2 linked regions of the Oreochromis niloticus genome follow. The protein of the gene in region 1 purifies or fractionates together with the protein of each later gene. This does not show direct contact. Links are inferred from orthologs where the notes say so. Each region holds a gene or a part of one and is shown in the gene's direction. Other genes may lie near its edges.

Region 1 (8,009 bases):
CTAATTACTGAGCCCGTGTTTTGTGAACTCAAAGGGCAGCATGATTCAATTAACAAAACCGATGTGTATTATAATTCTGAAAAGAAAAATTACCTCTGTCGACAACACGCTTATCAGATATAAAACAAAAGCAAATTCAAATTAAACTGAACAGCTTTAAATGTGTTGCTGCTTCGTGCGCTTTAATAGGGAAGAGTGCACACAGTCGATTTTGTATTGCATCTCAAATATTCATTCCACACTCCTGTCTTCACCTGTCATCTTTTAGAGAGTGGGAGAATTATTCAGTTCTGCTTCTTTAAATAAGAAACACAGCCTTGAAATTTGTGAGGCTTAAGGCAATTCATCAGGTTAGATCAGTACAATGTGGATGTGTAACCTTTACACTGCACTGGAACCTGCACATACAAGTGTTATGAAAGGTCCCCGTGGCACTCTGCTCTTCTGACATGGATTTGAAGACTTGCCACTTTATTAGCTGCTAAGCCCCCACTACTTGTTCTATATAGTGGAGGCCTATGTTATGAGCTGGGATCTCATTGTCTAGCGTTATTAGAGGTAGAGTCTGCAGCGCTCTCTTGTCTCCCCTCGAGAGTAGCCTGACTGTTTGAAAGGAAGCTACAAGTGCAATTTAACCCATCTTATTTACAATATGATCTCTTACAAGGACATCATCGCAGCAAGGATTCACATATAATACATCTCTACAATGTGCTTCTTTTCTGTTTTGATTGTTTCAGGAGAGTTGTTTGACTCTCAATTGAGCCCTAAGAAGAAAAAAAATCACTGAATGTGTCAAGTTAGAGGAGACGCAAACTTTAGTCAACAACACTAGTCCGGTTTTGTGTTTTTCAAAAATACTTCACATAAAATTTAGGCACAACAACAAGTGTTTTCTGCTTAAAGGTCAAAAGAGTTAATAAATAAATAAGAGTGGGTATGGGGTTCTTTATGATAGCATTAACATCGTGTCTGGGAAAACAAGCTGTTTGTGATCATCACTTTTGTCACCAACGCACACACACACACACTCACCCTCCAAAATGGAAATGATCTGTTGGCACTGAATAATAAGTGCCATAGTGCCATCTAGTGCACAAATTTGCACACTGAAGAATGACAGTCCCTGTATGTAAAACATACACTACATACTGCAGCGTACATGCAAAGGTACAGGGCTTAAGGGCTACTTGTGATTATGATAAAGGATGGTGTAGTGTTTTCACTGATCGCTTGTGTGCTTCAGTGTGAGTTTCAGCTACACTAAATGACCACACTGAAAATTTCCACTCATAGGGGAAATAAACAAGGAGACAAAGGTTTGTCTTAGAAGCCAGGTCTTTGACAACCCGCGGCTGTGGCAAGCCGCAAGGATAATCTCCTTCAGACAATGAGACGATGTTGAAGGCTGTGCATGCAAATTATACTCTGCCATCTAAATTACAAAGACATACACAGACCTCAAGTCATCAGGCCTCATATCTCACTCATCTGGCCTCCTGGCTGTTAGGTTGCCAGAGGATACTATAGAGACAACAGAACAGAAATAATAAGAAAAAACACATGAGCCAAAACAAGAGTCTTGAATAATTGATTGTGTTTGTCTTTTGCTGTTTGTGTGTGTGTGAGAGAGTGTGTGTTTGAGCGAGAGAGAGAGGGAGTGTGTGTGTGTGTTAGGACTCAGGGTCTGGACAGAGCTTATGCCCCTGAGCAGAGCAGACACATCCACTGGCCAATGGTTTGTGTTAAAAACTGTCTGATTGACCAAATGTGGGGGAAGGGTATGTTTGTGCGTGCCGGGCAAAAATGAATGTGCATGGGTATTTATGTTCATGACTGTGTGTGTAAATTCAAAGAGAAATAGGTGAGGATAGTAGCTGCGATGTGTGTGATTTTTGGCAAAATAAACCTGGGCATGATTAGCTCATGTTGAAATCAGCGCTGGTTTTGTATTCAGTAACATGGGAATAAGATGAAGTAAAGATTTCCAGGATAACAAACGCTTTTTGTTAAACGGGCCAGGAATAGGTGTGTTGTAAGATGTTAAAAAGTCAATATACCTTCATTTTGTCTGTGCTGGTAATGAGCCATATTTTCTGGGGAAAATGGCTGCTTCTCCGGAGGCACCATGTCTACTGAATGTGGCCCTGATCCTGGATAAAACAGAAGGCTCACCAATCAATCTCTCCAGGTTGCCCACAGCCAGAGAAAGCAGCTGCACCACATGTTTGCCTTGCGCGATAGCGACAAGTTAACATACGGGCAGCACAGTAACCATCCACAAGCAGCCTCTAGCTGTCTTATAATGAATTCCCACAGGGATGGGGAACTATCAGAGTCAGTGGTGTTACTGGAGGCTCGGAATAAAGTCAACACCTCTCCTTATACCTGATGAAGCTACGGCACGGCAGCACACTCACACACACAGTCACAGCCACAACGCTCGACTCGTACAAACGTGAACATTTCGAAAGCACACAACGATTAAGCTGTACGGTTTATTAAATCATAAATTAGGCTGCATTCGGGCATTACACGTTCACACAATGATGGTGAACAGAAACTGCTTCACTTGCTTTTAATAATGCAGTCTTATCGGGACAGCAGTTTTGTTTAATTCAATGTATAACACGTTATAAAGAGACATTTTTAAATTAACGAAAAATCGCCATTCAGCAATTTCTTTAATTTTTTAAAAGCCCTATTTTTTTATTCTGATTTGGACATCAGTGTGGCGTCTACACCCACACACCTACTGCTTTCAAATCATGATGTGTTTGTACTGTATTCACAAAGTAATGACTGACACACCGGTCCACTTAGTCAAACATTTAAGCAATCAAAGTACAAAACACAACGAACCCATTTGGTGCACAGGGCTCCACACGTAGAAGTCAAGGGTGTTTTAAAAGGTTTAAGCGGTTGTTAAAATAATGATGGTTTTATGAAACACTGGTGGACCATCTTTTGTTAATTTAAAGCTAAATGCCCTCACATCTACTAACTGCAAATGAGATCAATACACAAGCCGGTGCTGTAGAGTTTCTCTGGTAAACTGACATTAGTCAACTGCATTTCAGACAGCACTTTCAGAAAATGCATAATTTACACCCATTATGTATTCATGTGTGGAAACTGAGCAGGAAAAGTGCAACGCAGTCCATGATGTAGATAGATAGATAGATAGATAGATAGATAGATAGATAGATAGATAGATAGATAGATAGATAGATAGATAGATAGATAGATAGATAGATAGATAGATAGATAGATAGATAGATAGATAGATAGATGTGTCATTTTGGAGACAAGAGTTACTGCAAGGGTCAGACAGTGCTCACCACTACATTATCAAAGCATCTCCTCTGGTAGCGTTCCAGAAACTTTCCGAATCAATGCCAAGGAGTACTGCAGTTGTTCTGGTGGCAGGTGTTGACCCAACACCTTATAAGAACATTTACTTTTATGCTATATCTATATAGATATCTCTATAGACAAATAAATAGATATATCTGTACCTGTATAGATAGTTAAATATAGATATATAGGTGTACTGAGAAAGAGAGTGAGGGAGTGAGAGAGTCTTCCTAACCTCCAGGCCTCTGCTCTGCTTCTTCCCGTGGGACTCTGTGTGAGTGATGAGACGATGTGTAGCTTGGGAGATACCGAGGAGAAGGTTTTGGTGGGATTTGGCCCAGGTCTTCAAGGGTACATCGTTTTTATTCTCTTGCCACCTCCTGGACAATGTGCAGCTGCAAAAACCAAATATAAACTATGGGGAAAATATATATATATAATCAAACTTCAAGTCAGTGCAAGTGATGAGTTGGCTTCAAAAACACACGCTATGATAGCTGAATAAAAACAAGCTTTAGACTATGCTTTTTCATATCTGCTTATTGGCATTTATCCACTGAACTGTGTATATATATCACCATATGTATTTAATTAAAAAAAAATACACCATCTATAGCAGTCATTTCTGTATGCACTACATCACACTGCAGACAGTCTATTTAAAAAATAAATACACAGCATATTTTTTTGTTGATTCTGCGTAAAATAGCTTAAAAATTATTTTGTAGCTTTTAAAAATCACACTGAGTATTTGAAATAATATCAAATTAACCTAATATACTTTGAATCATTATCTAAGTTACTTTTGTTTGGTCATAGAAAACTGAAACTGCATGTGCAGAATTACCAGTTTTAGCCAATGAAACTAATTTAAAAGGCTCACTTACATTGTTGTGAAATTCTCTCATAGATTTAAATTCTGGATTCTTTGAGTGGCAGCTTTCTTTCTAATAACACTGGCTTGCATTTGTTTTCACTGGACTTGTCAGACTCTTTTTACCTTTATCTTCGTGAAGAAATATAAAAATAGAAAAGGATACAGACTAAAATCGAGTGAAAACTATATACTGGATGCGGAGTAAACTGAATTTTCTCAGTTTTGCCGCTAGATGTCACCGATTGACCATCCAATACAGGCTGAGGTACTACATGTTGTCACTATAATTCAAAGTGACGCTTTACTCAAAATCACACTTTGCATGTAAATTATAAAAAATAAAAATGTATTTTTTAAAATGTCAAAAAACGTTCAACATGCAAACAAAAATGTGTTTAACTCTTATTCATAGGCTGCTATGCAAATAATTTTAATTAAACATATTTGCTCAGTGGATATATGACTGGAAAAAATGTAGATTTTCTTAGTTGTTTTTGCATGTGTTGCTGTTTATTTCAGTCACAGTGAAAATAACCAGGCGGGGATGTGTAAATTGTATTTGTCCTGCTCATTAGTGGGCAGCTAAATAGGATTAAAAATCCTCAATAACCATATATGTAAAACATGCAATTCATTGAAACAAAGCTGGGTGGATATAAAATCCAGTGAAAATGCACATTTACTGATATGATGCTCAGGAGGATGGATGGAGTCAGGATGTGGCATGTGTGCATGACGTCATTTCTCCATGTACTGTGCGCCATTTTGGAAGAAAAAAAAATCACGGATAATTTCCGTGGTCTTGACAGATCTGGACCCGAGTCTTCACACTGATTGTGGATGCTATCTATCTCCCCGAGCGCGCCGCACTGGTTGATAAGGCATTGGAAGCTGTGTACAACAAGAGCTGCTAAATGAAGCAATGGCGGGTAAGCTACTTTTTAAAGGGAGGGAAAAGGATCCACCTCACTTGGTGTGTGTGATGGCCTGAATCTGCAACTTGGCTAACCAGCGTTAGCGCTGGCAAGCTAAGTTGCTAGTTGTCAAACTGTGTCACTGTCAGGTCATTATTACCGCCCGATGAAGGACGAGCTGGAATCACACTAACCCTGGTTTCTTTTTGCAGGAGTTGCAGGAGGAAATGATTTTCAGTGGTGTTTCTCTCAAGTAAAAGGAGCGATAGATGAAGATGTTGCGGAAGGTATGTGGCTAACGTTAGCTCGGCGGCTAGGCTACAGTGGTGGGCAGCTAGCTAGGTGGTCTGATGATGGTTCTCTGTGGGATTCACTTGAGGTGCACGAGAGCTGACGGCGGATGGACGCGCGTGCTTTTTTGCAAGACTGCTCTCGTGATTAGTGTGGACTTGTTTGTGGATCAGTTGCACAAACGCCCTTTCCTTGTAGATTACTGTGTGTCGCTAGCTCGCTATGAGCTAGGTGGTGGCTAAACTATTAAAGGGGGAGCGACCGTGCCCGTGACGTCAATGTGCTGCGTCCATAAATTGTCGAGTGACATCATGCTTGTTTTCATTCATACCTTAATGGGTGTACGTGCTTTTATGTGGTTATCGGTATTTTAAATTTTCTATAAGAACAGTGGGACCAGACTCAGCCTGCAGCCCATCACAGTAGCATTCTAGCTGCCATCCCAACTACAGTGCGGAAGCTGAGCTGTGAGGTCTGATTCACACCAATTTGTCTTTTCAGCTGACATAATCTCAACCGTTGAGTTCAACTATTCTGGAGAGCTACTGGCAACTGGAGACAAGGGAGGCAGAGTAGTGATATTTCAGCATGAACAAGAGGTAAGGATCACACAGCAGTAACACCGTGCCAGAAGTGAAGCCCTAAGCTGTTGTTGTATATAAATATTAAATATTCTCTGAGCAGTATTTGCTTATTAATGATCATAAAACTGACCTTACAGCCCATTGTTAGTCAGTGGCCAGTTTAGATCATCATGCAAATGTAGTGTCTATAAGGGTTGGGGAAACCTGCACTCAGCTGAGACTGAGGAAGTCATTTGGATGAATGCCTCCCACTCAAAACGCAACATCCAGATGAGCAGAATGAGCTCTCTGGGACACACAACATATAAAAGACCAAGTTTATTGTATCCATTTCAACAATACAATTTATAGGAATTTGTTTTGTTGTGCTCACATATACCATAAGATGCATTCATCAGCACACAGCACAGAACAATGTAATGCGTAATAAAACTGCATGTAAGAACTGAAGCCTGCATGTATATTTTAGGAAGTAAACAGTTGTCAGAAACACTGGCTAGGAACAAAGTGTGAGTGTTATTCAAACTGGATATTTTATTTATTTTGGTTTTAAGGTTAAATATTAAGGTACTAAACTATCATGGGAAGGTGTTATAATAGTTCTTCTCAGTTTATTCATATATTTATGGAAAATATGGTAAAGCTACGATGAAAATGTGCTATTAAACATTGTTTAGGGCATTTCAAAAAGCACAATGCCATGATCATAGTGTTTTACATTAGTACTCCATAATGGAACTGTTGTGAAAAATCTACATGTGGCTCCACAGTGTAGTAGTTTATACATGGACTTGGTCTGTGGGTTTTTGGGGTTGTCTCAGGAAGACCAACTAATGTCTACTATGCAGAATCAAATACCGGTATAAGGAGTTACCCACTTGGGCAGCCCACTTGTAAATAAGTGAGTGGCCGAAAATGTATTTTTATTTATTTTGCTTGTTGTTTATTGTGCTATTTTCTGTAATGAGCTTTTTTTTTTTTTTTACATATTTATGCAAAAATATGAACAAGTAATGATGAAATCTTGTTTTTTTTGCTGTTGTTGTTTTTTTTAATGCCCTAAACAATACCATGATTACAGTGTTGTTTTTGTTGCCTTTTCCCCCTCAGTCTAAGAATCGTCCACACCTGCGTGGGGAGTACAACGTCTATAGCACTTTTCAGAGTCACGAGCCAGAATTTGATTATTTGAAAAGTTTAGAAATCGAGGAAAAAATTAATAAAATAAGATGGCTACCACAACAAAATGCTGCTCACTTTCTACTTTCAACAAATGGTAAGAGCTTTTTTTCTGTTTTTCTTAATTGTTGATAATGAAGCACTATGTTCTCTCTCCTAAAGCCTTTCCTTTTTTTTCCCCAGATAAAACTATCAAATTGTGGAAAATTAGTGAAAGAGATAAACGAGCAGAAGGTTACAATCTGAAGGATGAAGACGGACGACTCAGAGACCCCTTTAGAATCACCTCTTTACGGGTGTGTTTAGCCGTCCTTCAGACCAGCCTCATTCTGAGCATAACTCTATGTGATAACCTTTCTAAAATTGATTGTTGTACATTTCAGGTACCAGTACTGATGCCAATGGATCTCATGGTAGAAGCAAGCCCACGGAGGATCTTTGCAAATGCGCACACCTATCACATTAATTCCATTTCTGTAAATAGTGATCATGAAACTTACCTCTCTGCAGATGACCTAAGAATAAATCTATGGCACTTGGAAATCACAGACAGAAGTTTTAGTATCCTTTTTTTAATATCAGAAAGCTGATTTTTAGATGTGTCTTAAAGTTTTAATAGCATTGCATCAATGTAAAATATAAGACTGCTAGCTCCTTAACAGTGTGCTAACAGATATTGTAGACATCAAGCCCGCCAACATGGAGGAATTGACAGAAGTAATCACAGCTGCTGAGTGCCATCCACATCAATGCAATGTATTTGTGTACAGCAGTAGCAAAGGAACCATCCGCCTGTGTGACATGCGA
Region 2 (7,279 bases), on another chromosome or scaffold:
ATATAGCGCTTTTCTACTCTTCTGAGCACTCAAAGCGCTTTACACAACTTGTGCATTCACCCATTCACACCCATTCGCACAAGCACATTTTTCTAGGTGCTTTCTAAGTAACATTCACACACACATTCATACTCCGATGGATGCATCGGAGAGCAATTTGGGGTTAGTATCTTGCCCAAGGATATTTGGCATGCAGACTAGGGGAAGCCAGGAATCGAACCACCAACCTTCCGATCAGTAGATGACCTGCTCTACCACCTGAGCTACAGCCACCCCACCCCAATGGCCATGAGTACCATTCACAGAGAGTTGGGGAATGGCTGCAATCACAGCATTGTAAGATGGCGAAAGATGTACCCTTAGGCCCCCTCCTCGGTTTGAGCGCGGAGTCAAGGAGGCCATTTACGTGAAAAGGGAAAGACCATCTCTGAATCGAGGAGGGGGCCTAAGGGTACATCTGTCACCATCTTACAATGCTGTGATTGCAGCCATTCCCCAACTCTCTGTGAATGGTACTCATGGCCATTGATCAGTGTTCTTTGATCAGTGGGTTTTGGTCAGTGATTGTTGATCAATGGTCATGGAATTTGCATAATTATGATTAAGAAACTGACCTCACAGCCCATTGTTCCCTCAGTGGGCTGGTTTCAGTCATTATGCAAATGTACTGTTTATAAGGTTTGGGGAAACCTGCAGTCAGCTGAGACTGAAGAAGTCACTTGGATGAGTGACGAAACGTTTCTCCCACAAAACGCTACGTCCAGATGAACAGATTCAACTTTTGGAGACTCATGTCAAACAGTTTTTTTTGGGGGGGGTTTTGTACATGAAAGTGAGTTCACTGTACTCAAACGGCTTCCACAGTGACCAAATCCAATAGGGCACCTTTGAGAGGTGGTTGTGGTGACACGCAGCCGATAAATGAACAGCAACTATGTGATACTGTCCCGTCAATATGCACCAAAATCTCAGAGGAAATTTTCCAGCACCATTTTGAATTAGTGCCACGAAGAATTAAAACAGTTTTTATAGCAAAAGGGGGCTAACCTGGGGCTAGCAAGGTGTACCTTGCTAAAGTTGGCGTTTGGTACGTAACTTATATCCTCTAATAAGTCAAATTAACTCTTATTATCCGTCTTATCCAAAAAGTAGCCCCACCTTCTGTTTTTTGTGTCAAGTCTAATAATTGTTCCAATGAGGTTACAGATCAGTAGCTAGATGTTGGAGCCTCGAGGATTTAAAGTCTGTGTAGGTTCTGGTAACAGGCACATAGATAAGCTAATAACCATTGCTGCAAATGAAAACATCCAGAGGCAGAGGTAATAAGCATCATTAGCGATGATAATTACTGGTAATTACACCAATCAGATTTAAAGAGTCTTATAAAAAACACTAATGAAAAGCCTCCAAAGGTGGCTGCTACTGATTTGGGAAGATATAAACAAAGTGCAGTTTAACTTCTTATTAAACCTGCAGTTTAGAAGCTTAAAAAACAACCATCAATGAGCAAAATACACAATTCTAAAAGACTGTTCATGCAGTTTACTTATCAAAGTGATCTCTATTGAGATGGAAAATCACATGGGATCATATTTGAACTTGACTTTATTGTCTTTTTCTGGCCTTAGTATGGATTTGTAATCAGATCTCTGATTTCTTTAGTACACAGGGAAAGTATAAAACTCAGTGTTCTTTGAATCTGTCTGTCATTGCATTAAAATTTCCAGTGAATGAGAATATTTCCACAGGTTATCAATACAATATATTACCAAAGACATTTCTTTTAAGTGTCTGTCCACATAAACAAGACAGAAAAAGGTGAAAATAAGAAAAAATGACACACCGAGTTAAGTTAGACCAAACTATAAAGGGTTAAAAGCGGTTCTATCAGCTACTGAAACCAGCTGACTTTTTGTTACCTCGCCAGAATGATTTCTTCAGCATTTTAAGAAAATACGAGCATAAGCAAAAGCAAGTCCTTTTCACCACCAAAAGGAAAAAGCTTAGACGCATTTTGTTTGTTTGACTTGGTGAAAACAGAGCATACAGTGACTCAACAAGTATATACCTTTTTTGCCATGTATTAAGTGTAAAACTATGGTTTCTGTTATATTATCTAAAAACAGTTAACACCATTTGAACTTTATTCAAAGGCTTTATTCAAATTTGACTCATAATGGACCAGTGACATTCAAAATAAAGCAGAGTAACTGTTCGGGGTTGAGCAAAATGGTTTTATTATTGCGGTCTCAACACACATAACATGTATAAACCATGCTTACAGCTCACTGGGTAAGATCCACGCACTATTACCCAAAATGTGGTGTGTTAGTTCTGATCACAACTACCAGAGGCTCAGTCTGCATGTGTGGCAGTGTTTTTAAACCCAGTCGTGTTACTGACCTGCTGCCAACAAACCCAATTAGTGTAAAGAGATGTTCCACCAGGTGCCTTTAATGGCTGTTTCACAGCTTTTTTCGGTGCCATCAAATTAAAAAAGAACAATTATTTCATGTAAAAAAAAATAAAATAAATACGGTACTGTGCAACAGTATTGAGCCACCCCTCATTTCACTTCCAAGAAGCCAGACATTCTTGTTATTTTTATAAACTGGTCTTGAGCAATAGTTCTTCTGACTTTCTGAAGCAAATTTTTCTTTCATTTTCAGTCCGTTCCTTGTATCTGACTATTTTCAGAAGAATGTTTTATTGCCTTTTAAGGTGCTTAACACCGGACTTATTAATTGACAAGAAAATTGACAATTCAGACATATAAAGCCATCTAACTCATGGGCTCAACCACTGTTTTCTATACACTTAACCAATTTTACATTGTAGCTTTAAGTGTAAAATGCCATAGTATCGTACAGTATCACAGGCATAAAAAAAAGCATTTTTAGCTAAAAAGATGGCATATCAAAGAAGTGACAAGTGGAGGATGAAAACAAAAAAGAAGTGGCAGATTGAAAGAAATAGGAACAAAAATCAGCAAAGACATGACAAAGCACCTGAGAAACATATCTGGCCCTTTAGTTGATCCATCTACGGTTTGCCAAAGCCTCATCAGAAACGGTCTCAATGGAAGGGTGACAATCATGAAGCCATTCTTAAGGAAGGAAACAGGAAGAAAGGGCTAACGTATGACAATTTACGGAATAACTGAAATGAAAATGAGTGGCAAAGCACTGTGGAACACTATCAGTCCTGGATTGGCCTCCCCAGAGCCTGGACCTCAACATTGCTGAAGCAGTGTGGGATCATCTTTACAGAAAACACAACAAAAAAACAGCCAACAGCCAAAGAAGAGCTGTGAATATCCTTTAAGAAGCCTGGAGAACTATTCCTGATTCTTCCTATTCCTAATTAATGAAATCACAAGAAAGCTTGCCTAAGAGAGTTTAGGCTGTGCTGAAGAATAAAGGTGGTCATACCAAATACTGACTTCTAAGTTGATTAGGATTGTGCACATTCAGTTTTTGTTGTACGAGCTATATTTGTATTTGCACAATTTTAAATAAATCACGTCACCTATATCCCATTTCTCTAAGAAAATATAAAGAAATTAGGAGTGGTTAAAGACTATTTTTTAATATTATATAAATAGAATAATAGGTTTCTTGTTACAATTTTCTATTAAGCATTTCCTATTTTTATTATTTATTAATAAACTGGGTTGCGTTTTGATATTTGTGTCAGTGTAGAACTGTAGTATTACTGGAGGGTGAATCCACAGTGTAAGTGCTCAAAATTCATACAGTGAGTAAAAAGGTTATTGGATTATTAATAAAGTACAAACATAGAAAAATGATGTTTTGCTAAACAACATTGGATTCTCTTGTAGGGACTTCGTACAAATTTATTTTTGTTTGAATGAGTATTATGTCATTTTACCTCTTAAAGTAATCAGTCGTGCACAATAAAAGCCAAAAGGTTTGTCGCCAGCCAGCCTTTTATATGTTTCAGTAAACTGGTAGTTGCAACAGTCAGATAAAGACAGTGAAATCAGAAGTAAAATCATTCGCTATAAACAAAAGGCATAACACCGAAATGTCACGATAACCTCATACATACTAGGGACTAGGCACGTAGCGGAGTAAATTCGTGTTTCTTAGTCACTTTCCATTCAGTGGGTATAATTCCCCTCGCCACAGATTGTTTTTCTTGTTAAAAAGGCCAGCGGTAAACGCAGCGTCAATACACAAAGAGTAACCAGAACAACATCAGATCTTCTACATCTTGTTCTTGAAGCCAGCAGCGGGCTTTGGCTTGTTTGTTAAAGCATTAGTAGGAGAGAAAAGCAGGGAGAAATCATTAGAGAGGAATCCCAGGCATATGGCTGGCTTTTGTCGGCTCCCCTCCCCCTCCCTTCCTTCCCCTCCTGTCGTCCGCTCCGCAGCAGCAGCAGGACAGAGGTAGTTCAGTTTTTGAAGCCGTGGCATGAATGATCTCATCTGAACCTGATCTCCGCTTTCTCTGCTGTCGATCCTATGACCGAGACGGGAATTAAATTAACACAAACACGAGGTGAGTACGGCTACTCAAGCACCCGACGATAGTGTTTTTAACTAGCCACCCGGGTGACCGTGTGTTGTTTTTGGGGAACTTAACAGCTCCGCCGTGGCGAAAACTCTTGTTTTTGGCTAGAAAGGAGGAAGGACCGCGGACTGTGGGTGGGTGGGCGCTTTTAGCTAATTAGCTTTACGTTCGCTAGCATTCGTTTTATGTAAGAGGAAGTTTCCAAACGAATGCCGAGGGTTTTGTGCCTCCGTGGAGGCATCTTTTTTCACGGAACATTTTATGCTAGCTAGCGGCAACCCAGAAGTGTAAATTCCGTCTGTAGCATAGCCGGCCGGCTAACTGTTAGCTACTAGCGCAAAATGGCCTCATTGTCGCTCGGTAGCTCTGATGCTGAAAAGACAAAAGCATGCGGCAGTCACGGCCAGAAGCTCTCCGTCGCTTTTTACAGCTATTCTAGCGGTTTTAATCTGGCGACTGGCAGTGGTAGCGCTATGTATTTAAGAGGGAAGTGGGAGAAATGTAAGCAGTGCTTTTTAAAAATGTGTTTATTCATTTAGTACGGCGGGCTGTGAAAGTGGTGGGGGATGGGCCATGCTAAGAACCATTGACGTAAAACGGGGCTGCATTTTGTTTGGCTTCTGCTTCCTAGCATAGTAGAAAACACTCAGTTTAGTAACTGTATTTAAACTGTTTTAAATCCAGTTTAGTGACACTGTCTGTCTGACGTAAATACAACTGTAATGTCAGCATCAGAATAAAGTACTGATTTACACGAGGTGATCCTCCTCCCCCTCCCCGCACTTATTTCCTGATATGTTAGAAGTTTTTGAACACCACATATGTCAGCATTTTTGTGAAATCATGTTAAAAAGATGTGCGACTAAGTTTAATGGTCTGAAATACATCAATACTAATGTGCAGGTGTAAATGAATACTATTTAACTGAGTATGATCTCGACATCAGTCATTAAAATTAAGCGTCTGTAGCAGATCACTTTGGGTTTTAAAATCAATACATTCTTATTGGTAAAGTAAGTAAATCTTTAAAAAAAATGTTCACTTGCAGATTGAGATGTTATTATCAGGAGTTTGGTTGTTATTTAGTGCTCATATTAGGTTATCTGTCAATATTATCTTGATTGAAAGTGTTTTAAGTGGTTAAAATGTAAGAACATTTAGGGAATTGATTGTATGAGATTGTAGTTGTTTACATGTCCCACAGTGGAAAAACACAACACAACGCACTGTGTATGTTGCCTGCTACAGATGACTGATCAGACTGGTTAGGACATAACTCGCTTTCAGTCTTATTTTATATATGACCTACATATGAATTGCTGTTTTTCTTATTGTTTTCAGAAATCTAATTCTAAATTCAGAGTAGAATCCTTAAGCTTTAAAAATGCTAAACTATAGGGTGTTCGAAAACAATTATCAGTATAAATGTTAAAAAAAAAAAAAAGTTGTCATGTCCAAAACTGTTTTCTCTTCTGTGTGCAGTGATCCGTCTCTCAGGTTGTAGTTCTTCCTGTTTCTATTTAATGTCTTTTTTTTCTTTTTTTTCATTTTTCTACTTTTTTTTCTTTAAGGAGGTAGTTCTCTCTAGTGTCTCTTATTTAACAGGGACCAGTATTATTGCACCACATAAGAAGACAACATATGTCCATAATCGTTTTCTCACCCTTTTCATTTTAGATCTCCGGGTATCTTCATAAATTACCTTTTCCCCCCTTTATTCTGTCCACTGTCAGGAAATGTTATTCTATGATTACGAGGACTCAAAGACCTCCAGGCTCCCAAGCCTTTAATTGTACTTACGAGCCACTTCTCTTTTTTTTTTTCCTTTTGGCATGGATTGTAACTTTTGAAAAATGTGGGGATCTGATTGATCAACTATTTAGATGTATACTTTTCTATTAAATGTGAACTCACAAGGTGTTGACTTGTTTTACTAGTTTTTGTCAGTATGCTATTGCACAACACCCGTGACTACACACTGTGTCAATGTTAAAATATGTAATTTGCACAGATTATGGGCCTTAGTTTGGCCTGGCATCCTAAAATAAAAATGAAAATTTGGTGTGGAGATGATTTATGACAGTAACAGCAGTGTCTTGGGCATGGTAGTTTCTTTTTGATTCCTAGTTCCTGAAAAACAGGAAATTTCTGTAAAGTGATCCAACCCTCTCTGTGATTTGTGCCCTGTGAATCCTAACGCAAAACATGAATCAGTGTTGTTTTTCATTGTACTGATTTTAAAAAATTTTGTGTTTTCTTTTTTCCCCTTTTTAAAATGTCTATCACAAATAGAAATTTGAAGCAACTGGAATCATTGACCCAAATGCCCTGCCCACAGGTTTAACACAGAGGAGACAGCCGGACACTGTGCATACTGTTTTTCTGTCTGATGGAAAATTAAATGCCACAGGCTGCTGTTTGGAGCTCAGTCTCCTATTCACTTGCATCCCATTTATTTTTGGGAGTCAGAGGGGCCTTTAACATTAGCGGGAGTATTGTTTTGTTTCTGTAAGACATGTGTGTGTTGAAGTGGTATTTAATGAGGAAGTTGACTGTGCTTTTCTTCCCCTCCTCAGTGAAGAGAAAGTGAAAATCTTGTTCTGCTAGTTTTTGAAGCGTCGCGTGCGTAGACCTGGAAACCTGATATCCCTTGTAAATATTAGTGGCTCATGGTGGTACATTGTACTGTGAATTGTAAATGCTGTTACTTTCCATATCCTTGTCACTTTTACCCCCTTGAAAG

What was found. Proteins that work in one complex are often made in the same cells at the same time.
Region 2: the proteins of serine/threonine-protein phosphatase 2A 55 kDa regulatory subunit B delta isoform (region 1) and cdca4 purify together in Homo sapiens (affinity purification with mass spectrometry; 3 studies listed by BioGRID and IntAct, counting the BioPlex papers as one, with this or other methods). This does not show direct contact. The link is inferred for Oreochromis niloticus from reciprocal best matches to the Homo sapiens genes PPP2R2D and CDCA4.

The regions. Positions count from the first base shown.
Region 1 is NC_031978.2:14,378,247-14,386,255, forward strand, and holds the start of serine/threonine-protein phosphatase 2A 55 kDa regulatory subunit B delta isoform, read left to right. Parts: upstream 1-4,958; 5' UTR 4,959-5,156; coding exon 5,157-5,163; intron 5,164-5,360; coding exon 5,361-5,435; intron 5,436-5,940; coding exon 5,941-6,038; intron 6,039-7,133; coding exon 7,134-7,299; intron 7,300-7,385; coding exon 7,386-7,498; intron 7,499-7,585; coding exon 7,586-7,763; intron 7,764-7,875; coding exon 7,876-8,009. UniProt on the Homo sapiens protein: Substrate-recognition subunit of protein phosphatase 2A (PP2A) that plays a key role in cell cycle by controlling mitosis entry and exit. Involved in chromosome clustering during late mitosis by mediating dephosphorylation of MKI67.
Region 2 is NC_031983.2:6,918,647-6,925,925, reverse strand, and holds the start of cdca4 (cell division cycle-associated protein 4), read left to right. Parts: upstream 1-4,181; 5' UTR 4,182-4,524; intron 4,525-7,279. UniProt on the Homo sapiens protein: May participate in the regulation of cell proliferation through the E2F/RB pathway. May be involved in molecular regulation of hematopoietic stem cells and progenitor cell lineage commitment and differentiation.